Rhinolophus ferrumequinum: one gene and its partners. Each later gene encodes a partner of the first gene's protein in a complex. Links are inferred from orthologs where the notes say so. Each region holds a gene or a part of one and is shown on either strand. Other genes may lie near its edges.

Region 1 (7,696 bases):
ATTGGATTTGCCACTGCCATTTGGCCCAATAATACAGGAAAAGCGCTGCATAAAAAGAACATAAAAAAAAATTAAAATGAAGTTTAAAAAGGTCATACTACTGATTTTAATTTAAATGCCTTGATTTTTTACTTACAGCAAATCTACAACTATTTAAGTTTTCACTGCTACAAGATAACACAACTTAAATTTTCTTACACCTTTATCAGAAGCGTCAAACACTCTAAATAAGACCATCTTCTAACACAGACTTTTTACAAAATTCATTCTAATCAAGAGAAAATACTCTTTTCAAACGAATAACTCACCAACTCTAGTCAGTGAGAAAAACTTTATAATAGCTACAAAGGTACCAACGATAACTAGATAAAACAAAAACTAATTTGTTGTTAAAAGCATAGGAAATACACCGTGTGTGAATCAATCAGGATCAATCTAACAGTTACAAAATTGAAACATCTTGTAATAAAGACTCATGATTTCCCAACAGTTATTTAAAATTGTCAAATACCTTATGAAAAGGTCCGAGAATTTTTTCCCCAGCATACGATTTGAAGTTCTGGTTTACAATATGAGTTATCATAAGTCGAGGAGCTCCAGCTTCATTGGTCATTGCTGGAGGTGGGGGAGGAGGGATGCTATTCAAAATTTCTTCTAAACTTCGATTATTAATTTCCTCAGTTGGAGTCTCTAAGTCAGTCAAAGGAAAGGAAAGGGAAGGCAAAGGGTGGAGGGAAAGCCTGCATTAGTGCAATTAGTTCTGAGGACCAGTGCCTGCTAATCTCTGGAGAGATGTTACTTATGAAACGTAGGAATCTATATTTTCCAGTTAAATATAGTAGTGTCCTAAGCTCACAGGAGATGACAATCTTTCATCTTGGTTTTATAAAAAAAGAAATTCTTAAAAGAAATGCCACCAGTCTCAAAATTCTATAGAAATATACCTGTTAGGAGTCAAAACACTACATTATAAAGCAAATCTGGTAAAACCACAACAGCCTGATTCCCTGCTCACCGCCTAAACAGGTGGTTAAATCCCTAAGGCTCTATCCAACTCTCCGTATCTTTGGTCATCTGGAACCTTAACTTTGGACACTCTAGATCTCCAGCGACACTGTCAGAAGGGTTTCGTAAGGTCATCTAATTACTGGACTCACAAATGTTACGGTGGTTTCGAGGACATTATCATCTTCTCTTTAATCGCAATTTAAGACCACGGGAGTGAGGTGAGGGTCAAGCAACTTTTCATCACATTAACATAGTCATGTTGATTCTATCTGAAAAGAAGTCCACTGGCTATTGGCTGACCGAGCCGATTTCCGCGGAAATACAAGGCCACAAACAGAAATTCACAACTGAAGCAATTTACTCGCCCCCATTCCCTCAAGCACCGTTACACCGAACTTGCACGAAGAGTCTAATCTCTGAAAATCCCCGAATCGCTTTCTTGATCTGATCTACCGGGCAGACACGCGACCTTCAGACGTCTAACGCGCAGCCCCTCTCTCCTGCGCCAAATAACACGGCCCAGTCCCGGGTTGGGCACGGACCCACTCGAGTCCTCCAGCGCGCTTTCCGGCCCAGTCTCGGCCGGCTACTCACCTGCAGTAGCAGGGGCCCTGGGCCCGGCGCGGCCCGGCGGCGGCTCGGGCTCCGCGTCGTTGCTGGTGCCGTCCGGGGACTGCGGCGGCTCTTCTTCTCTGCGCCGAGCGGTGGAAGGCTGGGTGCCTTTACGGGGCATGGTCGCTGGGGCCGGGTGAGAGCCGGGAGTTAAGTCAGCCCGCGGGCCGCAGGGCCGCGCGGGTACATTCCCCGCCGGCTCCCGCGACGTGATCGGCTCAGCCTCTACCCCGCCCCACTCGGGATAAAACTCCGTTCTCCAGTTCCCGAGAGCCTGTCTTTAAAACACCGCTCAACGCCAGCGGGTCCTTGGGCAAGAAGGCACCCAAACCCCAAGTGCTAGAGGTGCGGGGCTCGTTTTCTTAAACAAGTTCCAAGCAAGTGGGAAAACCTAGACGTGCCTGGGAATCAAGCCACCACAGACTACTTGGGTTCTTATTTTTTAATGCCCCCTCCCCCGTCGCCCACAGTTTAAGTGTATACGAATATCTGAATGTAATTTCTGAACGAAGTAATTTCCATACGCCGGCATTTACTGACATTCCCACGTTCTCGGGGCTAGGGATGCAAGCGCAGACTTAGAGGAGTTCGCATTAGTTTTAGGTTTGCGGGGCTATCAACTCTTCCTAGAGCAGAAGGCTAAGCTTAGGACGACTGGCTGCCCCGTCCTCTCCCCGCCATTTAGCTCTTGGCGCCGTTGACGGCTCGGGGGCTTCGAGGTCTCCTCTCCACAGTCCCACTGGGCAGGGCGGCCAGAGGCTGGGGTCCACCCCTCGGGACTTCCAAATCGGACGCCAGCGATGATCGGGGGTGTCTCTCCGGGACCCGCGGCGGAATCCCGTTGGGTAATGAACTACGAAAGGTCACCAGTAAGGGCTAGGACCCGGTGATTGGTCCCTCGGGAGAAGAGAGAAGGCAAAGGGTCCGGGGGAGACGCCCTTTCCTCGACAGACACCAGGATTTCTGAGATCCGCGAGGCTTAGAGCCCCCTCCACCGCCCCGAGCGATGCTTAAGAAGATCACAGAAGTAGCGCCCGGGAGAAGCGCGAGGCAGCCCGAACTGCCGGGGAGCGGCCGCGGGGGGAGGGGTGACAGCGAGAGAGATCTCCCGGCGACAGCCTCAGCCCAGACTTCGGCTGCTCCTGCTCAAGGCCTCTACTTTCCGGGCACCCGCGGACGGGGTAGGAAGTGAGAGTGTGACAACCTGATTAGGAAAAGATGTACTTTACCTGCGGGTCAGTCCACTCAGACCAAGGCTGGAAACGGTTGTATAGACCCCCCCGTTCCTACCGGTGTTTCGGCTCCGGGTCCTTCACTCGAAAATGGCGCCTAAAATACAAACTCGAACGGAAATTCGTTACAAATGCGCGCAAAGGTTTCTGGGAACCACTAATTTTAAAAAAAAAAGTGCGGCGATTATCACCGCCATCTTCTGGTCGCTTACACGCATGCGCAAACTCCGGCCCTGGGGAACCCAGGTGGCATGGGACGTTTCTTCTACGTGAAGAGGAAGAGCAAAACACTGTGTTCCTTGGGGCCTACGGCAACAGCACTCTTATAAAAAATATTGAAAAAAAAACCTGGAGAGTTTTGAAAAAGAAAAATAAGAGTAGGGTTCCGCCCAAAGCTGGAGGCGGGGCTCAGTCGTCCAATAAAGCCCCTTAAAGAGAGGGCGGGCTCCCTGAGGGGCGGGGTCTCAGGCCCGCTCGGGTGACGCGCGGCGGGAAAGTATCGCGGGAAGAGGGAATGAGCGTAGCTCTTTGAAGTCACTATGGTGACGGGAAGGTCGGGAGGCTTGGTAACTGGTCCCCAGCTCTGTGAGAGCAATCGCCACCGCAATTCTGGAACGTAAGGTAAATCTCTTCACCTCCGGATGTGGTGAAGAAAGGGTTTGGAAATTGTAGCCATCACTGGATCCCACTTTCTTTGAGGGTGTGTGCGGCGGGGAGCATCTATTATTTTCCATCTCCCTGGTGGCAGTGGGGCTCTGTACGTAGCTTTTGGGATGCGAAGGAGGAGCCCAGAGTTTGGAGGGAATCGAGGGACAACAAGGAGAAGAGAAGACCTGGACTGGTGAATGATGGTGTAGTCCACATGTTACTAGCAAAATAATAATTTCGAGTTATTGGTGTTAGATCTTTAAGTGTCACTAGAGAAAAGGGTTTTCGGGCTTTTGAAATCATTTGATTGAAAGACCCCGTTATGGAAGAAACGATTTGATGATGTCATTTGGTTATCTTTATGAGAAAATGTTTTTAAAGTAGCTTTTGTGTACATCGCACTGTGCAAGACATAATCAGGATTATTAAGCAAATATTGTTGTTCCCAGAGAACTTAGTTATGTCAGTGGGTTTTTATCTGGAGTCTGTGGATCAGGGGTTGGTGATTGGGCTTCAGAGGAGTTCATAGCGCCCCCCCCCCCGAAATGATATACAAAATTATGTGTGTGTGTGTGTGTGTGTGTGTGTGTATGTGCGCTCATTTTTCTGGGGAGTTAGTTTTCCCAGAACTTTGATCAGATTCTGGAACGTGGTCCTAATCCCCCACAATGTTAACCACTGGTTGATCTGACTATCTCCAGTAAGTATTCAGCAACTCTTCTGACATTGAGAATGGGGGCCTCCTTTATTTTTTCTTTTAAATTTTTGCATACTTAGTGCCTGGCATACTAAAGCACTAATAAATCTGCTTAATGAATGAATTTATATTGCCATTCTATTTAAGTGTTGTGACTCTTGTTCTGAGGAGCATAAAATCAGGTGCAGTAATTCTCAAAAAGGGGTGTGGACACTCACAAGTGTAAGAATTTCGTGAGCTTGGAGACTGGTGTGGTTTGAATACTCATTGACTTGATATCCTAATGTACCTTTATATTTGAAGTTGAAAAAAAGGATTAATTGTTTTCATAAGACAGGCTACAGATACTATAGCTCAAGAAAAAAATGTGGTTGGTAGGCGTATCAAAAAGATGTGGGGGAAAAGATGTAGGGATTCTCTTTGAGAGCTTCTGGAATCCTTTGGATTTTTGAAGTTTGTAAAGCTGTAAAACTTGAATTAGTGAGATATCAACCATGAAAAAGCAGACTAGACCAAGTTGAGTGGTGTATGTGGGGGACAGAGCACAATGTAGTAGAAAGATGTAACATAACAGAATCCAAAATCCCATCATTTTTAGCCACATGCTTGGATAATTTATTCAATTTATCAATCTCTCTGAGTATTTATTTATAAAACCAGCATATAATACCTATTTCACGGGATTATTTATGATTGTTCACATAGCACACATCCTACAAGCATTTGATACTGTGTGAAAGATGCATAATGGAATCAAGTTAGAAGAAGGTTAGCTTATGAAGAAAGGTCTTGAAATCCAAGTCAAGGATTTTAGATATGTTATGGAGGAAACATGAAAAATTTGGGCTAAGGAATGACTTGGTAAAAACAACAACAACAAAAAAAACAGTAGCTATGTGGGATGTGTTAAAGGTTAAAGAAACTGAGATCAGACATGGCTTAGTTAGATTATTACTGTACAGTCCCTCCATGTGGGAGGTGAGAAATGCTTACACAGTAGAATGGAAAAAAATCCCAACACACTTTGGAGGAAATAAAATCTATAGCTTTTATAGATTTTAATGTACAAAGTTAAGAGTATAAACCCTTAAAGTCAGATATTATTCTTTGTGAATCTTTGAATTAGTGATGAAGGGACAGGGAGAAAGATAAGTCACATATAAATCCTAATTTTACTGCCTTTGATGATTGCTGTAAATAATGGTAAGTCTAATGACTGATGGGAAAGAAATGTAATTTCAATAAACCAATAAAGTGACTGATGGCTTTAGATTTAGTTGAAACTAACCACACCCCATTCAGAAGGAATATTTTCAAAACAGACTTAAACAAGGTTGTTTAATGAAGAAAAGACATAACAGCTACAAAGTAGACTTAAATCTAAAACAACAATAGGACACTCAGAATAAGAAGTCATTTGAGAAGAGATTAGGGTTCCAAGAAATAAAGACATAATTGATCCTTGCCAATACTTTTGATATTTCTCATGAAATTAACACTGTCTAGTTATAAAATAAAGGCTGGTCTAATTGGAATGGACTAGGTTATAATCATTTTGGAAAGTATAACTAAGTCTGATCCTCCTGGTTCCAAAATCATCTACTAACAACCATTATCTATAATTTCAGGCAGACTGAGAAGAGAACCCTCACTTCTCACATTTTAAAAGTAAAGTTGTACCCCACAGGAAGAAATAAGAATAAGTTCAGAGAAAAGTTAGAATTAGAATTACAATGCACGTTTGCAATTCTTTAAGTGCATGATTTTGTCATCATAATAATATACATTTTATCTGCCTTCTAACGTGGTTATAACATTTCATTAAGTCTGAAATTAGGTTTGCGAGTAAATGCTTAAAAATATTAATCGAGACTGTAGTTGTAAATATTTGAATTAATTAGATATTAGCTAATAAAATGAATAAACATGAATTTATGTAAGTAATGTATAAGTGCTTAGAGAATATTGTCTATATACGTTGGATATAAACACAGGACAGATAGTAATGAATATCCCTCTTGATAATATAAGCCCCCTAATACATTAAGCTTGTTGAAACTCTCACCTAACTTAATGCAGAAAAAATAGGAAGTGAAGAAGCAGAACAGTTTTAGGGGGAAGAACCATTTTAAAAGATGAGTTTGTTTTTATTCATGTTTGTTGGGATTGTGGAAAGATGTGTCCAGTGGGCAGTAGTGGTAGAGAATATAGCTCAAGAGAAAATAGGATGAAACAGTGTTACAAGAATAACACTTGGAACACTAAAAATAGATTAGGTTTTTAAGGTTGTGAGTAAAGAGAGGACGGCACCAGAAAATGGGCATTCTTAGAATCTAGGGAGAAGAAATAATTATAGTAATGTCTCAGGTAGGACTTTCTAGATTATAAGTGACAGAAAACCCAATCCAGATTGTCTTGATAAAAAAAAAAAAAATGGCTCCCATAACCAGAAAATCAGATGAATATAACTGGATTCAGTGTTCAAACAAAGACAACAGGATTTGGTTTCTTTCTTTGCTCTGCTTTGCATACCATTATCTTGGCATTATTCTCAGGCTCTACTAGTGGCTTCTGGCACCTCCAGGCTCTCTCCCTGCTGTGGTAAGAAAGCTACAGTAACTCCAGCCTCAAATCTTCTAAAATTAAAGACTGTGGGTAAGGAGCATGCTTAGTATGTTAGAAGGAAAACAGAAAAATAGTATCTATTTGTTTTAATTTTCATTTTTTAATTATAATTGAGGCTGAGCGTTGTTTCATTGTTTTTCATTGCCCACTGACATCCTGTATTTATGTTTCTGTGAACTGTCAATCTATGTGTTTAAAAATTATCAGTGCCCTTGACCAAATGACTTCATAGGGGACTGTCCTGTCTTGGTTATTTGTTTCTATAGTATTGCCAATCTATCCCTATCCACTGGTTCCTTCTCTTTTGTCCCCACAAACATACAGGGGTCTACCCAAGTTTAAAAGGCTTTCATAGCTACTATTCTATTTCTATATTCTCTATATATTTATATATCTTTAAGTTCTACATTTATGAGCTATGCCTGCTGACCCCATTTTTTCCCCCATTCATTCATCGGACAAATATTTACTGAGCACTTATTGTATACAAGGATGGTTCTAGTTGCAGGGGATATAGATGTGAACAAAATAGACAGAAATTCCTACATTCATGGAGCTTACATTTTAGAAAGGAGCAACAGTAAGTAAAACGCATAGTATGACAGATGGCCTTAAATAGAGAATGCAGGGAAGAGTTTACGGAGAAGACGACTTTTGGACAAACATATAAAGACGGGAAGAATAGTAATACGTGAAGCTATCTGGGGGCATGGATTCTAGGCAGAGTACAGGTACAAAGGCCCTGAGGCAGGAGCATGCTTAATATGTTAGAAGAAAAATACTGAGGCTGGTGCGACTGGAGCAGTATGAGTGAAAAGAGAGAGAAAACAGGAGATGAGGTCAGAGAAATAATGGGTATATTAGGGCTCTCCAG
Region 2 (7,408 bases), on another chromosome or scaffold:
TTTCTGTCACCGCATCTCTGATCAAACCTCCTGCCTCCCTGGACAAGGACCACTGTGATGACACTGGACTCGTCCAGACCATCCAGGATAATCTCTCTTCTCAAGATCCTTAATGGCACCTGTAAAGCCCCTTTACCATGTGAGATAACATTCACAGGTTCCAGACATCTTTGGCGGGGGCACATAACTCAGAGATCCTGCAGAAGGGTGAAAGTTGCTGAACAATGTACTCAAGCAGGTAAAAGGGTTCCTTTGCTGAGAGCAGAGCCCATCCACAGCAAAAGGAGGCGGAGAACACAGGCCCAGATGCAGGCAGGGAGCAGCCGCAATGGTGGACTGTGGATGTTCTTTTGATTGCTTTTCTTTTCTCTTGATTGCTTTTCTTTTCTCAGTAAAATAGGAAATTACCCCACCCCCCAACTCCACATCTTAAGGGTGAGGGCTGGGGAGATTTCAGGAGAGAAAGGAGGGTATGAAATAGTCATCCAGAGGGAGAGTGGGTGAACCAGGGGATACGGCATGACTGCTGGGCAGCCTTTGGGTCCTCTTCACTATCAGGTGCGCTGGGCAAAGTAGGCGGAGTTGGAATTAACCAAGGTTGAGAGTTTGCCAAGTGTAAGGAAGCAAGAAGAGGGCATGGGGGTGCGGGTGTATGAGAGGGAGGGATTCCACTGACGGACCACGGCATGTAAGCTAAGCAACGAGGGGAACAAGGTCATGAGGTGAGGGGCAGTGAAAATAAGAGTATAGATCTGCTGGGTCAAAGACTGCTGGAGTCGGGGAACAAGATGGAGTGAGTTGGAAAGACAGGAGTGGTATTGAGAAGTGGGGTCATAAAACTGAGATGACACTGAGATGACAGAAGGTGCAGCCATTAACAATGACGAGGTCTGGGGTGTGACTATGCTAGTTGAGTGCAGTGGCCTAACTATAATTGGGAAGAGAGAGATGAGGACACTGAAAGACCTTGACATTGAAAGATCTTGTGGGAACGTTTCCAGATTTAAGAATTGGAAGGCTTGTTTTCAAACCCCAGATCCATCACTTATTAGCTAGAGAAATTTTAAGCAAGTACATGGCCTAAACGTTTGCTTTTTCATCCGCCATATGAGAATGTGTATCTCAGCTGGTTCAGAACTAGCAATATGAAAAAAATACATATACACAATATAACATATTTTATAGAAACATATTAAAAAGTGATACACAGTAACACTAAATGATTGCCCATGTGACAGGAAGGAAAAAGGAGTGGAGAACAGGGCTAAAAGAATGAACACAAATACAAGAACTTCACTGTTCCCTTGATAGCTTCCTACAGGCTGAAGAATATCATTCATATAATTCTCAGCTGAGGTCAAAACAAGCAAAAGAAAAAAAGTAAAAATGGAAAGGAAGGAAGAGACTTTTTTCAAGACCGAATCAAGGGGACTTGTGACTATATATGTGGATGTGGGCGCTGCGAGGTAAGGAAGGGGGCTGGACCTTAGGAGAAGAGACCTTGGCAGAAGAAACAGGAAGCACTGCAGGAGGACTTCTCTCACTGCCTTTGACATCACGCATGTGTTCATTCAACAGATAAGGTTACTGAGCTCAAAAACACTTTCTGTATCTGCTTCCTCCCCTGCTACTCATTTTCAGCTCCCTCTGGTCTGGTCCCGTCCCCACCACCTTATGAAAACTGTCTGTCCACCCACAACTACCATGTTACCTCAGCCGGTGGCCACTTTTCAGGCCTCATCTCTCTTGAGATTCAGCAGCCTCTGGAACAGTTGACAACTCCCTGCTTCTTGAAACACTCTTGGCTCCTATACCACTCTCTTCTGAGTTTCTCCAGCTACTCGTTGTATCCAGCTTCTAAATGTTGGTCCTGAGTGCTTTCTCTACAGGCTTTTCCTAGTGTTCTCACCTGTGCCATAGTTTTATGCCCTATGAGGATGACGTCCAAATTTATTTCTCAGTCCAGGGGCCACTCCCCCGAGTGGCAAAGTCTTACCCAAGTGTTTTTTGACCCCGTCACCTGACTGTCTCTCTTGTAGGTCATTTACCATGTCCAAAACGTAACCCTAAATTCCGAAACATCTTATGAAGACCTACAAAGGCCCTGCCCACCTCAGTGACCCTGCTCACTGTGTAGTCACTGGGTTCTGTCCTCGCCTATGCCAGGCTCCTTCCCGCTTGCCCAGTTTTTGCACCTGCTCCTCTGTCTGGAACACATTCTCCAGTCTCTGCTAAAATCTTAAGTGAACCACCTAACCTAAAGGGGCCTCACTCTGCTCTGGCTGGGAAGAGAGCCATGAGGACATCTCAACCAAATCGCAGCACTCAGACTCATCTGTAAATTATGTCGTTTATTTATTCCCTGTCTCCCCAACTAGAATACAAACTCCAACAGGCTAGGATCTGGCCTTTGTTCTTTACTGGTGTATCTCTACATCCGACAGAGGGTTTGGCCGGAAGGAAACACTCAATACTTGTATGAATGTAAAAACAAATGCACGCGTTTTGAGCATACAGAGGTACCCACAACGCTTCCATGGCCCTGGACTAACATGCCTTCAAGGAAAACCACCTTTTGAATGCCCAAGACACCGGGCTCGGTGGAGGAACCCAGGGGAAACAGTTTCCCACCTACGCGGGCGAACAGTGAGGCGCCAGCGGAGACCGCGTCCTGATTGGCGGAGCACACCGCCCGCCCTCCCCTCCCCCCAGCCTCCCTCTGCCCGCGGAGAGCGTGGCCAACGACAAGGCCTACAACAAGGCCGAGAATACCTCACTCCCGCTCAGGCCCGCCCGCGGGCCCCCCGCCCCGCACGGGCCCTTCCCGCCGCGCCGCGGCCAGCCCCGACTCACCTGGGCAGGGAGGCCCCATCTTGCCCGCCGTCTCTCCGAAACTGTTTTTAAAACGCGCGCCGAGACGCCGGCGCGCCGTAACGGCCGCGTGACGTCACACGTGGGCGGGGCCGGAGGCGCGCCGGCGCAGACCGCCCAGCCTGCCGGGCGAAAAGTGACTCTGGGGGTAGCACCAGAGCGGGACGTCGGGGAATGAGAGCTGGGGGCTCGGGCCCTGTGGTGGATTGGAGGGGGTCTGTGGACCCCCGAGGATAGCATGAAACTCTGTCCTTTCGAGCGTTAAACGTGGAACTGGGAGCTGGGGCCCAGCGTAGAGCCGGGCGGGCGAGGGCTCTGCTTTCACGGAAGGGATGTACGTACTGTTGGGGGAGGCAGATTACCAGGAAACGAGGGTGATTTCCCCGTGTTGTGACGGCAGCACAACGCTAAAGAGGTGAGGGACGGAGCAGGCGGGGAGCCGACCCCGCACTGAGCGTTCCCAGCAGGGGAGGACAGGTGCAAAATGTTCCATGTACATTTTTTTAAATGAAGTCCATCGTTTTCTATAGCTTCTTGCGTAAAGCTTCCTGGAGCTACACGAACACCCGCCCCCCTTCAAAACAGCAAAGGTTAAGGTCGGCGGTGAGGCGGGCGCAATGTGCCGCCTATCCCTTCATTCTGCTGCATCTGATCCCAAGAGTTGTATTCCAGGAGGATAGGCCAGGGCAATTCCTCCAAGTATCCCTAGAACAACCTGTAATTTGTTACAACACATATCTGGCATTTTACACAGTGTTTCTTGTCAAGGGTGCTCTTGGCATTCAGAGTGAAACACTCCTGACAGATGGGCTCTTGCCCTCGATGGAGGACTGCTCCAGCATAAGGGCTGTTGGCCCACTAAATGTCACCACTGCCCCTCAGTCATTTTGGCAACCAAAAAAGTATTACTACCCTTATTGAAAACCACTCTTTTAAGCCTATTTGTTTTTTGCAGGAACTTGTTCTCCCAGTGACCACCAAATGTTTAATGTGTGGGATAGAGGAAAGAAAACAGTTACAGTGTTCATGTCAGCCACCAGCCACGCAGGAACCCAAATCAGCACCCTGGAGCCATCCTGGACGCCTCCCTCTGCCTCATTCTCCATACACAATCCACTCTTGAGTCTTTTTACTTCTAAAAAAGAGTAATACTTTCCGCCACCTTCTAAGTTCTCCTAGCTGGGCTAACAATCAAATTAATAGGAAAATTAACAAGAGAAAAATCAAAATTTTAATACATGCACATGGGGAATTCACATAAACATGACAATTCCAAAGACAGGAAACATTGGGTATGTAAGACATTTTGGACAAAGAAGAAGGCAGGGGAAGGGGTATTAGATTTCAGAAGTGACAAAGTGCAACTTACAGGGAGTAGAGAAAGAGTGGAACATACATGGCAGGAAATTCTTGCTGGGCAACTCAGAAACAATGAGACACAGGAGGGGGTAACAAGCTAACAGGCATGGAGTCTTCCTAACTAATGTTAAGGTGAAGATTCTTAAGGTGATTGAGCCCAGGCTCCCTTCCTGAAGCAGATGTTTCTGTCTGAATCTCTTGGGCAGGAAAAGGGGGAGGAGGGGCAAAGTTTCTTTCTGAGTCATTTCTTAATAAAAAGCTTGAAATCAATATCCCAAAGAGCAGCGTCAGGGCAGCAAAATTTTGGTTCCCTTCACTTCCTAAAAATCTCTTCAATCCTGCATCTCTCCTTTTCATCCATAGCACCTTCTTGCTGGTGGGCAGCTGTCCCACACCCACTCTGACCCCATGCCAGCTGGGCCCAGGGTGATGGTTGCTAAGTACCAATGTGACCTGACACTCCCTCCCCAAGGTCCGAAACATTCAAAAGTCCCACTGCTCTGGGAACTTCCAAGGTGGTCTACAAGGTCCTGCGGAGTCCCATCCCTGCATCCTCTCCAACCTCGTCTTGTACCCTGCCCTCCCTTGCTCTCTGCCCTCCAGTCACTTGGGCCTCCGTTGGCACTGGCCCTCACCACGCCCACATCCCACACCGGACCTGTACACATGCGGTGGGCTTCCCTGATACACTCAAGTGTCCGTACTGGAGGCTTTAGAACTGGTCACCTGTGCAATTTTACATCCGCTGGGTTGACTGTTTCATGTCTATCCCCTCCACAGACAGCGCCATAAGGATGAAGCTCATCACTGTTTTCCCAGGGCCTGGTGTTAGCCCTGGACACAGCAAACACTTAAATGTGTATTGAATGAGTGACGTTGGAAGACAAGCTTAAGTCCTGGATTGGGAAGCTTAACTTCCCTGGGCCTCGTCTTCTCCCCCATTTATAAAACAGTGATGAGAATACCCCTTTTGCTGGGCTTTATGAGGGTGTAGGTAGTAAACGCCCATGAGCACATGGGCTCAGAGTATGCTAGGGTCACTGTCATCTCACTTACTTGTGCCCTCTGTGCTTCGTGCATTTGAGAGAGGAGGGCTAGCTTCTGGATTCCATGTCTGCACCAACCAAGAGCGGTGGGGGTTGGGAAGACAGTAGGTAGCATGGAATCAGGAGCCTCTGAAGAGCTGGCTTGGAACTCCTGGCAAAGGAAGGCTACTAGGTGACCACTCAGTTAAGCATGAGGCTATGCCTCGGTGAGGCATGTGGTTGTGATGGAGCCTCCTGAGCTGACTGCTGGGGGCTCTGCGTGCAGGGACGGCCAGCCCCACCCCCTGCGTCTCATCTCCATTTCCAGGGGCCAGGTCCACCAGGTGCAGGCAGGTCATTCACCTCCCGCTCTGAATGCCCTCTTTTGGGTTGGGAGGTTAGGACTAGGAGGGTACCAAAAAGACTGAATGATTTGTCAGTGGTGTGTAAAACTCAATTCCTCTGTACAAAAATAAAGTAGTGGGGTCCCTCCCCCACCCGTCTGCAGAACAGCGGTGCTGGGGCTATCCCCTTCCTCATTTCACTCCTCACTAAGATTCTACTTCCCCAAATGAAGGCAAACAGCCTTAGCTTAGGTGAGGGACAATGGTATTGTAAGTTGGCTACCTCAACAAGCAATTTTTGGCTTCAAATTTGCCCTGAACTTCCAGCCTGCCGCTGGCTTATGTCATGATGTAGTTCGTGATATAAACCATTTAGTCACTGGGGCTCAAGGTGCACATAGTTGGAATGGCTTTACATTCATTTTGGCCTCTGAGCAAATGCCTTTAATTTTGTATGTGATACGAAATGCATGACCTCCTAAAGACTGGGCCAAGAACCAACAATTTCTATCTTCTGGAATTTCCAAACAACATACCACCTTTTATGTTAAAATTAATACAGTGCCTTTTGCTTTTCAAAGCACTTTAAACCCTACATCTTGTTTGATTCCCAAGACCGTGCTGGCTCTGCTGTTTACTGTGTGACCTTGGGGAAGCTGTGTACCCTTTCTGTGCCTCAGTTTCCTCTTAGGTAAAATGGATAAGATAGAGCACTCACTTCATGGGGTTCGAGTGTGAGGATTAAATGAGTTACCAGATGTGAAGCATTTAGATCAGTGCCTGGACCCTTGGCAATGCTCAATGAACACTAGTATTTCCATTCCCGTAACTAGTGTTCTGTCCTGGGTGCCAGCCAGGTATTGTCTTAGAATAAAGCTCAGCGTCCTAATACCTGGAGGTTTCCCCTTTCATTGTAAGAGTATTCCCAGAGCACTACAGCTCTGTTTTTCACATTACGACTTGTTTTTTCTATACTCTTTCTTACACCCACTGCCCCACCCAAGCTGTGCTGACTGTTCCCTTTGTAGTCTTCTGCCCGCTTGTCACCTTGTTTTCTTTCTTGCCCCTTACAGACTAGAAACCCCACAGCCCTAGAACATATCACCTTCTCTCTATCGACAGACTTATGCCTCTAGAACTTTGCATGTTGTACACAGCCAATAAGATCTTTTAATCTGGCTGACATTTTGGCTTGGACACCATGAAAATGAGTAACTTAGACGTTCCTAAACATTCTGAATTAGTCTTTCCTGGCTACTAGCCAGGCCACTGGGAAACCACAGGGCAAACTGGTTCAAGGTACACTAAGAAACAGCAGACTGTACTGGATGGAGCCACTCAGGGTGATGTGAACTTCTGGGGAACAGGCATGTGAGGATACTAATCTGCCGGGTGTTCACGCACAGATTCCAGCTGATACAGAAATGAGCCTCCTTTATTGATTTAGAATGAAAACACCAGCAAATTATTTTCTAAACAAAAAGCATATGAAAGTTTATAAAACACTGAAATCCTACCAGCACAGAAACAACCATCATTGCATCTGAACTTGAAAGCAGCATCAGCAGAAACCAGCAGACAACACGGGAGCTACTGTGCAGTGGGAGCCCCAAGTACTCAGTGGCATCAGCTTCTCGGACACTTGTGACTTACTTTTGCTGGGGGGAGGGTGTGGATCTACAACCAAAGCCCCCAATGCCAGCACCTAAACCTCCCTGAGGTCAAGGGAAACGTAGGGCCCGATCTTCTGGCACGCGAGGTAGGAACAGCACTGGATTTCCCAAACAACCGCACCCACTACCGTAGTCA
Region 3 (7,508 bases), on another chromosome or scaffold:
TTACATCGCTGTACTCAGAACCCTAATGGCTTTTTGCCCTCCTAGGAAGAAACCCAAAATCCTGAACAGCTTCCCACGCTGGCCAGCTTCCCTTCCCATTGCCCCCCTACCCAACGCGGGCATGCGCGCACACACACAGCTACTTCCAGGTCCTCCACTGAGCCAACATGTTCCCACCTCAGAACCCTGGAACACTGTCTGTACCGGAACAGCTCACGATGACAAGGCAACTCCTTTCATCCCAATGTTCAGTCTCCCAAGTCACACTCTTCATGAAACCCTCAACTTTTCTTTTGAACCACTCATCAGTCTGTGGTTACACAAAGACACACAAGGGGTGTGTGGGGGGGGCGCCTCTGCCATGAGCTGGGACTTCGAGCACATCACAGAATCTCTCCACAGAACTAACACTTGGGCTACCGGGGCTTCTGTAAGCATTAGATGAGCATAGACGTAGGAAGCACACAAAAAAGGGCTGGCATAAGCAAGCACCAAATGCGTGATGTGTGTACGACCTGCTGTGGTTACTGCCTCAGGCTGCGTCTCCCTACAGGAGTGGCAAGTGAAGCTTGCCACTATTTTCTCAAGGTTTAACATGGTTCTTGGTACACGACACTCAACAACAATGAATAAATAAGTGGATGAAAGAGGATAGGTAGCAACATGATAAAATCTGTTTGTGTTTTTTTTTAAAAAGAACATTCTGGTAGCTGTGTGGAAAATGAAATGGGAAGAAAGACAAAACTAGAGAACTCAGGACTTCACAGGGCAGGGAAGGTTTGGAAGAGCAGACAAATGAAGCAGAGGGGAGCTGACCAAGCCAGAAGTAGAATTACCAGGCATCCCCAAGTACCCTGCTTGAGGTAGAAACCTGAATCCACAGTAGCCCCACCCAGCACACTTCTCTGCATTTTCTCAGCAGAGTGTGTCTCCAAGCAGAGGTCGATTGTCAGATCAAGTGTTCATTTCACAAACACTTATTCCATACCTACTAAGTGCTGGACATTTTGCTTAGCAAAGGGAAGAGAGTACAAACATGGTCACTGCCCTTACAGAATTTATATTCTAGGGTGGAAACAGACCATAACCAAGTAAACAAGTTAAAGAATAGCTTGTAAAAAAAAACATTCTAAAGTATGTAAGGTACTATGACACAACTATTCTAGACAGGTTGGTCAGCTGACATGTAAACTAAGACATAAAGGGTAAGGAATTAGTCATAAAAAGACTTGGGTGAAGAATACTCCCCAGGAGGAACAGAGAATATAAATACCCTCAGTCAAGAACGAGATCGGCTGTTGTAGGCTGACTGGCTCAAAAGAACAGTGAAGAACCAGAGTGAAGGCTAAAACAGTAAGCAGGGCCAAATTTGGGGCAGAAAGTCTGGATTTTATTCTGAGCAATGGAAAGCCACTGAGGAGTTTTAGACAGGGCAGTGCTACAGCCTGATAATGTTTAAGTGTCACACTTGCTGCTGGATGGAACACTGATTGGATAGGACCAAAAACAGCAGTTGGGTGCCTAGGAAGGAAGGTTTTACACGAATCTTAGTCAGATGGTGGCCTGGACTATAGGAAAAGGAGAACAGGTGAATTTAAGTGAAATCCTGGTGGTATGAATTCTGGTGGTGAACTGGGTGTGGAGTGTGGGTTTCACTAAAACTGCTCTTAGTTTTCACCTTTGGTTGAAGAGTGGTGCTCTTTACCAAGATCGGAAGGGTGGGATTTGAGCAGGAAAATAAAATGCTCCACTTTAAATACATTAACTCTGAGATGCTTTGTGACATCTACGTGGAATGTCAAGTGAACAGCTGGATACACAAAACAGATTCAGAGGAAAGATCTGGGATAAGGACATAAACTTGGGAGTTGTCCTCATACAGCAATATTTAAAATCGTGGAAATAAATGAAATTGTTGCAGGGAAATGTGTAAGAAGATGCCCAGGACCGCTCTGAGCAGCTCACTGCTGATTGCACAGGAAAGAAAAAGTAGGCAATGAAACTGGAAGAAAATCAAAACACCAAAACCTGTTTCAAAAAGGAGGGTGTGGTCAACCAACAAACGCTTCTAGTGTCCCCTGGACTTGATAGATCAAGCCAAGAGCAGTCCAAGTGGACGGAGGAATATAAGTGAAGTGTAAAAATGGAGCGGACAGCTCCTTAAGGAGGGCTAGACACAGCTGTGAAAATATGTAAGAAAGGTTCAGTGCGGACGGGATAAAACATGGCAGTAGCTTGAAACTGGTCTGAAAATCCAAGACAGAAATCCCTCTGGTCAATAATATCATAATAACTATGTGTGCTGACAGATGGTTACCACACTTATTGTGATGATCACTTCGTAAGGTGCACAAATGTTAAATCACAATGTTGTACACCTGAAACCAATATAATGTTGTATGTCGATTATAACTAAAAATAAATTTTAAAAGAAGTCAATCCCTCTTTCATCGTGATCCAGGATCTCTCAAACATCCAAAAACGCACAGAAATTCTATTCTATTACATTAGGGAAAAATGCTGGTCATCACCCACTGAACCGATTTCATGGCTCACAATGGGTAGCGACCTGGAATGACAGCTCCAGGCTAATTTAATAAGGGATGATTTCGGGAGGCAGCGATGGAGTTGGCAAAAAGGGAACGCGCCTGAGAATGATCGTCGCCAGACCGCCGGATATACACAAACCAGGAGGCCGCAAGGCCGCCCAACAGCCCCGGGCCCGGCGCCCCGCCCGCCCAACGCCACTCCCCCGAGGCGGCCCTCACCTCCTCCAGATATTCGCCCAGCTGGGCCGCCACATCCACCTCCCAGTTCTTGGTGAGGTCGCGGATGGGCTGCAGAAGGTGGGCGAAGCGCGCCTCCACGTCCTCCATGTCTGGGAGGGGCCGGGGCGGCCCAGAAACCGCGGCGCAGGCTTCCAGGGGGGCCAGGGTACTCAGCTCGCCACTACTTCTGGCGCCATTTTGCTATTCCCGCCCAGGAAAGTACGTAGCGCGCGGCGCCGGGCGCACATCTATGACGTACACGGCCAAGGCCGGCGAGGAGCGAACCCGGGCGCTGCGCAGCGGACTTGGGCCGTAAGGGCCGCGAGGCACGCTGGAGGAGGGGCAGACGTAGGGGCGGGGCGTGTGCTGGGGTCGGGGCGGGGCTAATATGGGGCGGGGCTTGCAGTTGGACCCACCCTCGGGCTCGTGTCCAGCGGGCCGCATAGCGGACATGGCGGGCTCCCGGCTCCCGCGGCAGCTCTTCCTCCAGGGCGTGGCCGCCGTCTTCTTGTTCGCCTTCGCTTCCCTCTACACACAGATCCCGGGTGAGGGCGCCGGGCTCCGCCACCCCCCAACCCGCAGGACCCAGCCCTGTGCCCTGTCCTCTCCCCACCCGACACTCCGCTGTCTCGGGGCGGGAGTGAGGGCCAGGCCTTGATGTGCGGGGTAGGGGGCTGCGGTTCGTGTCCTGCGGGCAGCAGAGCTTAGGGGGTAGCAGAGTTTAGGGGGTAGCAGAGCTTGCAGTGGTCCGTTTCCCGTAGGGTTCCAGGTTCTGACCTGGGGCGGGGAGCTGGGGCAGAATCCAGAGGGAGGTGGGCCCAGAACTGGTGAGGCAGGTAGGAGATAAGGCTCTGACCTGGAGGAGATTGGACCTGGGCTCTGCCGGTGGGATCCTGGCCTGGGGAGTCTGGGCAGGGCTCCTGGTGCGAATGGAGCGGTCAACAGGTTCTGACCTGTTGGGGTAGGGTCTGCAACATCCTGATCTGGGGGGGGGGGCGCTGCAGGTCTTGCCTGAGGAGGTAGATAGGTGGGGGAAGTCTAGCCTTCCAGGCAACGTCCAGGGCCTGGTCCTGACATGCCCTCCCACAGGCCTATATGGCACTGAGGGCATCCTACCTGCGCGGAGAACACTGCGGCCGCAGGGCAAGGCGCGCTGGCAGCAGCTGTGGGAGGTCCCAACGCTGCTGTGGGAGGCGCCGCGGCTGGGACTGGACACAGCGCAGGGCCTGGAGTTGCTGAGCCTGCTGGGCTCCTTGCTGGCTCTGGGTGCCCTGCTGCTGCGCCGTCTGTGCCACCCCCTCACCTACCTGCTGCTCTGGGCCGCCTACCTGTCAGCCTGCCAGGCAAGTGGGGCTGCCTCCTGCCCCCCCACACCACTGAGAACCTTGCCACCAACCACCCCAGCCTCATCCATTCCCTCCCCCCCCCCCCCCCCCCCCCCCCCCCCCCCCCCCCCCGTCTCTGCCTTCTCTGCTTCCCCAGCCGTACAGCCCCTGCTCCCTGATAGCTCTTCTCCTTGCAGGTGGGCCAGGTGTTTCTGTATTTCCAGTGGTGAGTGACTATTGGGTGTGGGCCTGCAGGAGGCTGGGGTGGGGCAGGGTGTGTCTGCCTGTCCCCGGAGGACCCTGTGACGGACCCTGTGACGGGAGCACCTTGATGGGGCGGCCCTTGTGCTCTTCCTACTCCCCATAGGGACTCCCTGCTGCTGGAGACTGGCTTCCTGGCCGTGCTGGTGGCCCCCCTGAGGCAGCCCCCCTGGGGCAGGCTGTCAGAGGCCTCGCCCCACGAAGGCCTCCCCTTCTGGCTCGTGCGCTGGCTGCTGTTTCGCCTCATGTTCGCCTCGGGTGTGGTCAAGCTGACCAGCCGTTGCCCCGCGTGGTGGGGGCTTACTGGTGAGGGTCCCAGACTGGACATGGGGCATTCTTGGAGGCTCTGCCCAGCCCTGACCGCCCACCGTCACCTGCAGCCCTCACCTACCACTACGAGACACAGTGCCTGCCCACACCTGCCTCCTGGTTTGCCCACCACCTGCCCGTCTGGCTGCACAGGCTCAGTGTGGTGGCCACCTTCCTCATTGAGGTCGCGGTGCCCCCTCTGTTCTTCGCCCCGACTCGCCGCCTACGCCTGGCTGCCTTCTACTGCCAGGTGGGTGTGGACCTGCGCCTCAGGGAGACAGGGACATGGCTTTCCTCCACACAAGCCAGTGGGTCCCGTTAGGGACAGGGTGGCTGCTGCCAGCAGTCAGGAAGGCCTCAGGCAGAGGAACGAGTTAATTCAACATGAAGGTGTGCCTGTGGGCAGGGCACAGCCTCGCTGGAGGGCATCAGTGGGGCAGGAGGGGTGCTGAGCCTGGGTGTTCTCCTGGTGGTGCTGGGGAGTCATGGGAGGCATGAGCAGGGGTAGAGGACAGAGGGAGCGGGGCCAGACAGAGGTCAAGGGGTGCCTGTAGGCGTGGGCTTCAGGCCCTGACAGGCCCGGTCCGTGGCGGCCCCGGGGGCTCTGAGTGCAGGTCCTGCTGCAAGTTTTGATTATCATCACGGGCAACTATAACTTCTTCAACCTGCTCACCCTGGTGCTCACCACCACCCTCCTGGATGACAAGCACCTGGCTGCCGAGCCTGGCAACAGCCACTGCAAAAAGACAGCCACCTGTGAGTGACAACCAGCCATGTTCACCCTGCTGCCCAGCAGGCTGTGTCCTTTCCTCGGACTCATCTAGGTGGCCTCTGCTCTGGCTCCCCCCAGCCCCTTGCCACCCTGCAGCCCTCTTCCCAGTTGACCCCTGACTGTCTTGCCCTACAGTCTGGCTCAAGGCCCTGCTGAGCTTGCTGCTGGAATTGACCGTTGGCGGGCTGCTGGCCTACGGCACCGTGCACTACTTTGGCCTGGAGGTCGACTGGGAACAGTACACTGTCCACTCCAGGACCAGTGAGTGCCGGCTGGGCGCCCAAGGGCAAGGGCTGGCCCACCCCTCCTTATACTCCCTTCTTTCCACAGCCTTCACCTTCCACCAGTTCTCCCAGTGGCTGAAGACGGTGATTCTGCCCACCATGTGGCTGGGGGCGGCCTCCCTCGGCTGGGAACTGCTGACGGCCCTCTGGAGGTGTGTGAGGGGGGTGGGGGGTAGAGCTGTGCAGAGCAGGGCTGACTGCCCTTCCGTCCCCCAGGTGGACCCAGGTGCGAGGGTGGCTGCGGAAGCTCTGGGCTGCCGTTCAGCTGTCCATCTTTGGCACTGCCACAGTGGCCTTGTTCACAATCAGTCTGGTGGGTAGCACTTCACAGAGGGCAGGGGGAGGGGGCTGGAGGGGGCAGCACTGAGCCTGTGCCCACCCATCCCCAGGTGCCATACTCCTACATGGAGCCCTCCACCCATGGGCGCCTCTGGACCGGGGCCCATCGCCTATTTGGCGCCGTGGAGCACCTGCAGCTGGCCAACTCCTATGGCCTCTTTCGCCGGATGACTGGTCTGGGTGGGCGGCCTGAGGTGGTGCTGGAGGGCAGCTACGACGGGCACCATTGGACGGTGCGCTCTCCCACAGACCCCTGCCTGGGGAGCCTGGCAGGCTCCATGTCAGGGAAACCCATGGGTTTGGCATTGGGGGGACAAGGGGGGTCCTGGGTCCAGCCACCCTCCTGAACACAGCTGGGCACACAGGAGATCGAGTTCATGTACAAGCCTGGGAATGTGAGCCGGCCGCCCCCAGTCGTGGTGCCCCACCAGCCGCGCCTTGATTGGCAGATGTGGTTTGCGGCCTTGGGCCCGCACACGCACAGCCCCTGGTTCACGAGCCTGGTCCTCTGCTTGCTACAGGGCAAGGAGCCAGGTAAGGCCGGGATCAGAGGGGTGGGGGCGGAGCTTGCTGGAGAGGCGGGGACTTGTGGGCGTGGCTGAAGGAGCTGCCAGTGGAGCTGAGCTCCCCTCCCCACAGTGATCCTCCTCATCCAGAACGATGTGACCAGGTACCCGTTCCACAAGCAGCCGCCCAACTTCGTGCGGGCCCAGCGCTACAAGTACTGGTTCTCACAGCCGGGGGAACAGGGGTAAGGCTGGGGCACTGGCGGCATGCCGGGGAGCTGGGCTTGGGTGCCACCTGAACGCCCCTTCCTGTTGCAGCCAGTGGTGGCGACGCCAGTGGGTTGAGGAATTCTTCCCACCCGTGTCGCTGGGAGACCCCACGCTGGACATGCTGCTCAGGCAGTTTGGTCTCCAGGTAAGGAGTCATTAGCCAGGCTGTGGGAGGTAGCAGGGCTGACCTCCACCCACAGGGACGACCCCCATGGACCCTCCTCAATCCTGCCCCAACAGGACAAGAGCCCACCCCGGGTCCGAAGCTCCAGCAACACCCTCACCCAAGCTCTGCACTGGGTCCGGAGACAGCTGTCTCCCCTGGAGGCCCCCACCCTGCTCTGGGGGCTCATCTTCACAGTGGGGGCCATTAGGATCGTACAGGCCCTGCTCGGGCACCGTCCCTCCGGGTCCTGCCCGGCAGCCAGGAAGGAGAACCACAGGCCAGCACCCAAGGACTCCGGAGTTACCCCAGCCCCCACCAACAGCAGCAGTTCCCAGCCGCCCCAGCGGAGAAAGTAGCATGTTCTGTCAGCCTTATGTCTGTCCCAGGAGGGCCAGGGTTCCGAGCACACCTCTGGTCCTCTGGAGCAGGACATGGCCCAGCCACCTGTGCCTTAGCCCACTCTCCTGGCAGACGCAGGTCGGGGTGCCAGCCTCAGGGCACACTCTGG
Region 4 (7,345 bases), on another chromosome or scaffold:
GAGGTTGAGCATTTTTTCATATGTCTGTTTGCCATCTGTAGGTCCTCTTTAGAAAAATGTCTCTTCATGTCCTCTGCCCATTTTTTAATTGGGTTATTTGTTTTGGAGTTGAGTGAGGTTTTTTTTTTAAATAAATTTTGGATATTAACCCCTTATTGGATATATCATTGGCAAATATCTTCTCCCATTCAGTAGGATCCCTTTTTGTTTTTTTGATGGTTTCCTTTGTTGTGAAAAAACTTTTTAGTTTGATGTAATCCCACATACTCCCTCACTTTTAAATGACACCTATCAGCAAGCCTTCTCTGATCATCCAACATAAAATGCCAGTCCCTACCCTGGCACACTGTATCTTTTTTATCTTGCTTTATTTTTCTTGTTGGCATTTATAACCATCTGACACACTTCATATTTATTACTTGTTGACAGCCTTGAGAGAACTTTGTCATCTTGTCTGTTTTGTTTACTGTTGTATCACCAGTGCCTGGCACATAGCATATCATCAGTACATGTTGAAAATTAAATGATTTGATCTTGTATATTTATAGAACTGGTATTTAGGGTTCTAAACACCAAAAGCAATGTAATTATATAAAAAAAGGATTCTTAAAGAGAGTAATCATCCATTTTAAAAAATAATATATTATAATAACTGAATAATAGTTTGCTAGTGTGTAGCCATGTGCAATTGGTGATACCCAATATGGAGAGAATAGTTTATCTGTGGACACTGTTGGTTGGCCACCCATCAGTCGACTTCCACATTCCACTTATTCCTTGTTTACCAAATGGTGATATGTTCAGGTTTAGGAAGCCTCCTAAGAAATCACTGATCAATTGAGCCAATCTGGGTAATTCCATTTCTCTTATTAGGAATTAGTTAGGGAAATAGCACATGATCCAATTCTGGCTAATCTGTTGGGATGCTTCAGGTAAAATTTTTAAAGGAAAAGAAGAAAAAGCACAAAATAGGAAAATCCCCTTTTCTACCTCTGGACATCAGAACAAAGAACTGCCACCTGGCAACCATCATGGGAAGGCCAAGAGGAGATAAAGATGGAGTGATATTCAAACTGCTGTATTAACTAACTCTTCTTGTTGTAGGATATAGTAAATGAAGTAGGTTATTATTCCTACCTTTACATATGAGGAAACTGAGGCACAGAGAGAATAAGTAACTTGTCCAAGGTCAGAGTGGTACAGCCAGGATTCAAATGCATGCAGCTTGGCTCTAGAGTCTCAAGCTCTACTTTGTGTACCTCTCTAAAGCAATCTAACTGATAGAAGACAACCTCTAGTAAGTATAGTGACATTATGGAGTCTTGTTTGATAATGCCTAAATTATTCTTGATCATCTATAGGTTTCCATGGATGGAAACATATATTGCACATATATTGTACAGTGTTGCAGCTGTACGTACTCTTATATATTGTTTTTTTCTGATTATTGCATACTCTTAGAAACAAGAGTTCCAGAATCTAAAAGTGTTACTTGAAATAGGTCAGGTAAAGTCCCAGAAATTTGGAGAAAGCTGTGTTCTCCAATAGCTCTTAAATCCACCAGGACTTTATTTTGGCATATGGCAGGAGATAAAGCTCTAAAATAATTTTTCCCCATATACACCAAGATTAATTATTGAATACTCAAGATAAGGTGGTCAATGAGTGCACTCTTCCTGTAATGCATCCCATGCAATACTAGGGAGAAAACAATAGGGAATAGGAAAAACATGTTCCTTGCCCTCAAGGCGATAGTGATGTAGTGGAACAGACAAACAATAGAATTTACATGTGGGATGGTTATTTTGAAATGCTAGGCACAGTGGCAGGTATGCACTCTTACCTCTAAGTTGTGATGGAAGATTTTTGATGGACAGTACCTCTTGCACAACATACTGATTCACCCCTCCACTTTTCAACAATTCCTCTGGGGCTAAGGGCAGATGGAACTCATAAAGTTGGGGAGACATCCTTCTCCAACTGGTTCACAGGGCTGGAAACCAAACAGCAAATAGGTCAGGATCTGCATCTAAGGACTGTCTTTTCTTATGGTTCTATTAGCCCCAACTCCCTCCAATACATAATGCTTTTTAGTCTTACATCGTGCTGATGACATCTTAGGGGATGTGAAATCAACCCTAGACGAATCTAATTTTAGTCATGATTCTATCAGTTGGTTATGTCACTTAACCCTCCGGGCCACACCTGTACAACGGGACTGCTAATCTCTGATCACAGTTGCTCATTTTCAAAGGAGTCAAGGGACATGAAAGTTTAAATAAAGTGGCATATCAATGCGTTATGTTTGCATTATTTCCGTTTTTATGGGCAAAGCTTTTTAAAATAGAACGTTTCGCCTGAGGCCCGAACAGTGGCCTGGCATGGGCTAGTGGGTTTCCTGGCTCCAGAATGGGAGAGCATTAACATTACCTGTTTATGTGCCAGGTTCTGTTAGGCTATTTGAATAGAGCATATCTGATCTAATTTTCCAAATCCCAATCTCCTGGAGTGATAATACAGCCCAATTTACAGATGAGGAAATTGAGGTTACAAAAGCTTACGCGATCTGCCCAAATTCTGCTGCGGATATGTCAGACTGTTTCTACCACATCGTACCCCAAAGATATACCCACTAGATTTCCCTGCCTCTCGTACGCTGCCTAGTATTACCCTGTACCCGATTTTCCCAGTTTTTTATTCCCTGCTATCCATTAACACCACACTGTACCGGAGAACCTCACCTGCCGTTCCTCAGACTTCGGTTGTGGGGCTGAAATGAAGGGAAAAACAGGGCGGGCACAAACAGGGCGTGCACAATACGCACCAATCAGAGAGGCAGCGCTCAAGAGGGCCGAGAAACCTACCAATCGCGAGCAGGAGGAGGCAAAAACCTGCCTCTGAGCCAGGCGCGGCGCCGCGCGGGCAAAGCCAAAATCGTGGACTTCAAATCTCAACGGTCGCAAGGTGACCAATCGCGACGCTCTCTGAAGAGACCGGCCAATCACAGCGCAGGAGCCGAAAAGCCCGGCCGCATCGCCTAGGGAGGGGCGGGACCTAGATTTAGGCTCCGACTCCCCGGGCTCCTGGTCTTGCGGGTGATCACTCCCCTTCAGGGTCTTCCTTTGTCCCGCTCGGTGGGGAGGAGACCCCGGCAGTTCCTGCCCAAGATGCCACTTTTCTAGCTGGGCAGTGGTAGTGTCCCTAGGGTGGTGACCTACTCAGTCAGCCCCAGGGCAGGATTTAGGTTTAGGCTTTAATCCAGGTTTCGCCATTTCCTCTGGTATGTGACATCTAGCAGGTCACTTCACTCTCTGAGTCTCGGATTCCCTCCCTTGTAAAATAGGGGTAATAGAAACAGCGACAGCTCAAAATTGCTGTGAAGCACAGAGAAAGGAAGCTCTGGGTTCCACGGTCTGGATATTCAGCTCCTTCATAGTAGAGGGACAGCCAAGGAAACGAAAGAATGAATTTTCTTGAAGCTCAGTTTTGGGACGCCCTAGGCGATGATGAAGCGAGCCCCTCAGCTCTTCCGGCGCTTCAAGATTCCGGCCCGCAGACCGGAAGCGCCTCGGCGGGGCGGGGTGCGTGAACGCCGGAGGGTGTGTGTCAAGGCCTCTGCCCCGGAACCCGGAAGGCGGGGCTTGTGGTTGGGGAAGGTGTAGCATAGGCGGGCCCTGCGCCCAGAGCTACTTGGGTAAGGACCAAGATGGCTGCGTCAGGTTAAGAGCCGTGTGAGGCCGCTACCTGACGTTTCCTGTCATCTCTTTGGAGGCCACGTCTGGCCCTCACTCTGTGCTATTGAGGTGTCCTGTTGTAGGGGAGAGACTAGAACAATGGCAGGGAGCCTCGCTGGGGGCGCAGGCAGGCGCCTTTGGGGCTGGGTGCCCCCGGCCTGCAGAAGCTTCTCTCTGGGTAAGTGGCGGACGTAGAAAGACGCCCCGGGGGAACTGCTTCTCAGATTCAGTCCCTTTCTTCTCCATCTCTAGGTGTTCCAGGATTGTTACACGTAAGACTCACCCTCCCGCCCCCCAAAGTAGTTGATCGTTGGAACGAGAAGAGGGCCATGTTCGGGGTGTATGATAACGTCGGGATCTTGGGTAAGACTCAACTTCATGGTCCATAGTTTAAGAATGGCAGTTACGCCTTGACAGCTCTTTTTTTCCACCTGTGTAGGAATGGTACTGTGCTCAATAGTAAGAGCACCTATGTGGCTTGTTTATGTTGTGTTGAGCACTGATCTGAGTGCTGTACATGTATTAACTCGTTTAATCATGATAACCTCTTCACTTTACAGGTGCTGAAACTGAAGCACAGGGAGGTTAAGTAATTTTTCCAAAGCTAATAAATGGCAATGGCGGAATTTGCGTCTCTTGATACTGTAATGTGGCTTGTCTATAGGTACTGTTCAGAAAGGTGCAACTGTGTCCTGAAGGCTTAGCTGGTCGAGGCTGGGTTGTCTGGGCTAATATGTGCTCTCATGTTACACAGGGAATTTTGAAAAGCACCCCAAAGAACTAATCAAGGGCCCCAGATGGCTTCGAGGCTGGAAGGGGAATGAATTGCAGCGTTGTATCCGAAAGAAGAAAATGGTTGGAAATCGGATGTTCATTGATGACCTGCACAACCTTAACAAACGCATCAGCTATCTCTACAAACACTTTAACCGACATGGAAAGTACCGGTAGAAGAGAAAGCTAGGAATTGTGGAAGAGGCATATCTATCACCCAGGAGAAAGGAAACAGTACTTTTCCTTATGAGTAAAGGGATTTGTGTGCTCTCCATAATAAAATGGGGCTTCTTTGGAATCTGTTATCCATATACTTTATTTTCCTTTAGATGCTACTTTTACTCATTCATGTAGACTATGAAGTCTGACTCATCCCTAAGTCTTACTGTCTTAGGTTTGGACTTCATCGATTGTCCTTTGCAGTCTAGCCATACTTATGGCCTTTAAAAAAGTAAAATTATTGTTGGCACTTCTTGTCCTTTGGGTTTCATGTATTGAAAGTGGTAATTTTTAAGTGCTCCATAATGCTAAATGTTAAATGTATTTTAAAAAACCCTCCCACGTTGGAATGAAACATAACAGAAAAATGGAATTCTGTACTATTCTCATCAAAAATACTGGGTACCTTTTCTGCGCTGAGAACTGTAGGGGGAAAAAAAGTGTCGTATATTCTTCCCCGACCAACATGCTTTTCTAGTTAGGGATATAAAGTCATAGTCTCACATGTACACTTTAATATGAGGCATTAATGGTTTGCATCAGTAGTTCCTAAGCATGACTGATCATCAGAATCATGGTGGTTTAACAATTTCAAAAGCCTGGTTCCTGTCCCCAAAGATCTGTGATCTGTAGAGCTGAGCTGAGTCTTATGCGTCTATATGTGTGTGTTTCAATAATTATAAAATATCCATACATACAATGCAAATTTAAAAATTACAAAAGGGTAATCAGATGAAAAGTTTTCTCACAGCCTTTTTTTGTGTGTGTTCTTTCACCAAGGCAAACACTCTTACAAGATTCTTTTTTACTCCTTTGGGACATACACTATGCATGTACAGGTTTATATTAAAGACTATATGTCTATCTCCTTAAAAAAATTGGATTCCATATACACTGTTCTGTACCTTGCATTTTCACTTAATATAACTTGGATATTATTTTATATCCTCACATGTGCCATAATGATTTAACCAATTCTATTTTGATAGACATTTAGATTGTTTCTAGGCTTTTGCTTTTTCAAAGTATGACGTCTCTAATTTTAGGTAATTACAATTTTAAAAGCCCTCAGGTAATTTTAACTAGCCATGTTAGGACACCATTGATGTGGACAATAAGTGACCTAGGTAAAAATTGTATTTGGCCTAATTCGGAGAGGCTTCATAGATGATGCTAGATTTCAGTAAGGAGAGAAAAAAGGGGTAGAACATTTTAAGGGGGGAAGAGAAGAGTGATCAGTGGTGCATAGTGAAAGAACACAGTATGTGCTAGAAGTTGGCGAGGTAGGTCTAGCTATAATGAAAACATGGTATGCCACTGTCTGTTTTTCTTTTAATAGTTTACTTGCCTGTGAATCACATTAAATAAGCTTGGCATTACTCAACTGAGAGGAGAAAAATGTTGCTACAGTTTCTAGAATCATGTACTGACTAGGATTAGATTTAGTATGCCTCCAGTGCCTGGAATAATGAGGCTTTCAAATATTTGCAGAATGAAATAAGGAAAAGTATTTGATGTGTTGCTTATAAAGAAATCTTTTATGTGGGTTAAAAGTGCTATTTGTGTTTCTTGGGAGGGTTATTAGGTTGATATGGGTAAGTCTCTGGTATAGACTATTGATCAATGACATGGCCTTTGGAGTGACAGGTCTGGGTTTAAACTCAAGTTTTACCACTCTATTCACGTGGCCCTACGCAAAGTAGCTAAGCCTTAGATTTTTTTTTTTAGCCTGTCAAGTAGGAATAATACAATACTTTCCTCATAAGGTAATTGGAGGAATAAATGAAATTATGCATGTAAAATATTTTGTAGAGTTTGGCAAGTGTAAATGGTAATGACACTCCTGGAATGTGTGTAGTTGTCAAGGATTAGAAAAACCTGAAGAAATGAATGGAAATGTTTTAAAAATTATTTTAACTTTTTATTTATAAAAGTAGTATTGCAAACTAAAGAAAATGAGTTACTTAACATATACAAGTTGGATTTGAAGGTAGAGGAATTAGGATGATTAGGCCTCTTATCTGATCCAGATCCTTTCAAGTAGATACTTGTTTCAATTACTTATTGTTATATAACTTCACCCTGAAAGTTAGTGACTGAAAACAAAATTTATTAATTCATATTCTCTGGGTTACCTGGTCTCAACAAGCATATTCTCCATTTAGTGTGGGCTGGGGTCAGTCATGTTGCATTCATTCAGATGGAAGATTGGCTGGAGCTAGAATGTCCAAGATGTGTTTGTTGACATGTTTGGTTCCAGTTGGGGTGGCTAAGATTTTTTTTTTAACATGGTCTCATTATTTTGTAGTTTAACCCAAACTCCTTTACGTGGAGGCTTGATCCCAAAGTTAAAAATGGAAGTTGTAACGCTTGATAGACATAGGTAAGAAATCACATGGTGTCACTTGTGCAACATTGTATTGGTCAAAGAAAGTCACAGGCCAGCCCAGATTCAAGGCTATGAGGAAATGCGCTCCATTTTTGGATCGGAAGCAGCATGCAATTGTAGGGATGTGATGAAGTATCAACAGCCATATTTCAGTCTAACCTCAGTAACATTTCATGTCTTTGTTAGGACTTTATCGATTAATAAGTACTTGTTAAAGTAAGTGGTAAGT

What was found.
Region 2: SMC4 (region 1) and NCAPH share a complex: the UniProt entries of both Homo sapiens proteins name them as parts of the condensin complex. The link is inferred for Rhinolophus ferrumequinum from reciprocal best matches to the Homo sapiens genes SMC4 and NCAPH.
Region 3: the proteins of SMC4 (region 1) and NCAPH2 are in contact, whole or in part, in a cryo-EM structure (PDB 9F5W), measured with the Homo sapiens proteins. The link is inferred for Rhinolophus ferrumequinum from reciprocal best matches to the Homo sapiens genes SMC4 and NCAPH2. Residues at the interface, in NP_001002800.1 of Homo sapiens: Ile100, Leu101, Gly102, Pro103, Ile112, Gly113, Pro114, Ser117, Gln1151, Met1152, Leu1155, Phe1227, Lys1228, Ser1231, Ile1232, Phe1235, Tyr1236, Glu1239, Gln1240, Asn1253, Asn1254, Phe1256, Glu1257, Arg1261, Gly1264, Ile1265, Tyr1266, Lys1267, Thr1268, Tyr1269; in NP_689512.2 of Homo sapiens: Arg494, Ile495, Trp498, Glu499, Thr501, Val502, Leu505, Leu506, Gln509, Glu510, His512, Phe547, Cys550, Arg551, Met553, Leu554, Leu557, Gln558, Ala560, Asn561, Tyr563, Val565, Glu566, Ile567, Gln569, Leu573, Glu574, Ala576, Val577, Asp578.
Region 4: SMC4 (region 1) and NCAPD2 share a complex: the UniProt entries of both Homo sapiens proteins name them as parts of the condensin complex. The link is inferred for Rhinolophus ferrumequinum from reciprocal best matches to the Homo sapiens genes SMC4 and NCAPD2.

What each region holds. Positions count from the first base shown.
Region 1 is NC_046285.1:79,424,151-79,431,846, forward strand, and holds the start of SMC4 (structural maintenance of chromosomes protein 4), read right to left. Parts: upstream 3,006-7,696; 5' UTR 2,850-3,005; intron 1,747-2,849; 5' UTR 1,742-1,746; coding exon 1,603-1,741; intron 691-1,602; coding exon 512-690; intron 46-511; coding exon 1-45. UniProt on the Homo sapiens protein: Central component of the condensin complex, a complex required for conversion of interphase chromatin into mitotic-like condense chromosomes.
Region 2 is NW_022680356.1:1,959,378-1,966,785, reverse strand, and holds the start of NCAPH (condensin complex subunit 2), read right to left. Parts: upstream 3,006-7,408; 5' UTR 2,873-3,005; coding exon 2,854-2,872; intron 1,910-2,853; exon of another isoform or gene 1,712-1,909; intron 1-1,711. UniProt on the Homo sapiens protein: Regulatory subunit of the condensin complex, a complex required for conversion of interphase chromatin into mitotic-like condense chromosomes.
Region 3 is NC_046293.1:252,993-260,500, forward strand, and holds the start of NCAPH2 (condensin-2 complex subunit H2), read right to left. Parts: upstream 3,018-7,508; 5' UTR 2,877-3,017; coding exon 2,769-2,876; intron 1-2,768. Other genes in the region: LMF2 (lipase maturation factor 2), read left to right, coding at 3,220-3,313, 3,858-4,111, 4,291-4,319, 4,461-4,660, 4,735-4,913, 5,278-5,419, 5,571-5,696, 5,766-5,871 and 6 more. UniProt on the Homo sapiens protein: Regulatory subunit of the condensin-2 complex, a complex that seems to provide chromosomes with an additional level of organization and rigidity and in establishing mitotic chromosome architecture.
Region 4 is NC_046293.1:23,751,691-23,759,035, reverse strand, and holds the start of NCAPD2 (condensin complex subunit 1), read right to left. Parts: upstream 3,004-7,345; 5' UTR 2,865-3,003; intron 2,782-2,864; exon of another isoform or gene 2,742-2,781; intron 1,994-2,741; 5' UTR 1,971-1,993; coding exon 1,844-1,970; intron 1-1,843. Other genes in the region: MRPL51 (39S ribosomal protein L51, mitochondrial), read left to right, coding at 3,834-3,912, 3,987-4,097, 4,489-4,685. UniProt on the Homo sapiens protein: Regulatory subunit of the condensin complex, a complex required for conversion of interphase chromatin into mitotic-like condense chromosomes.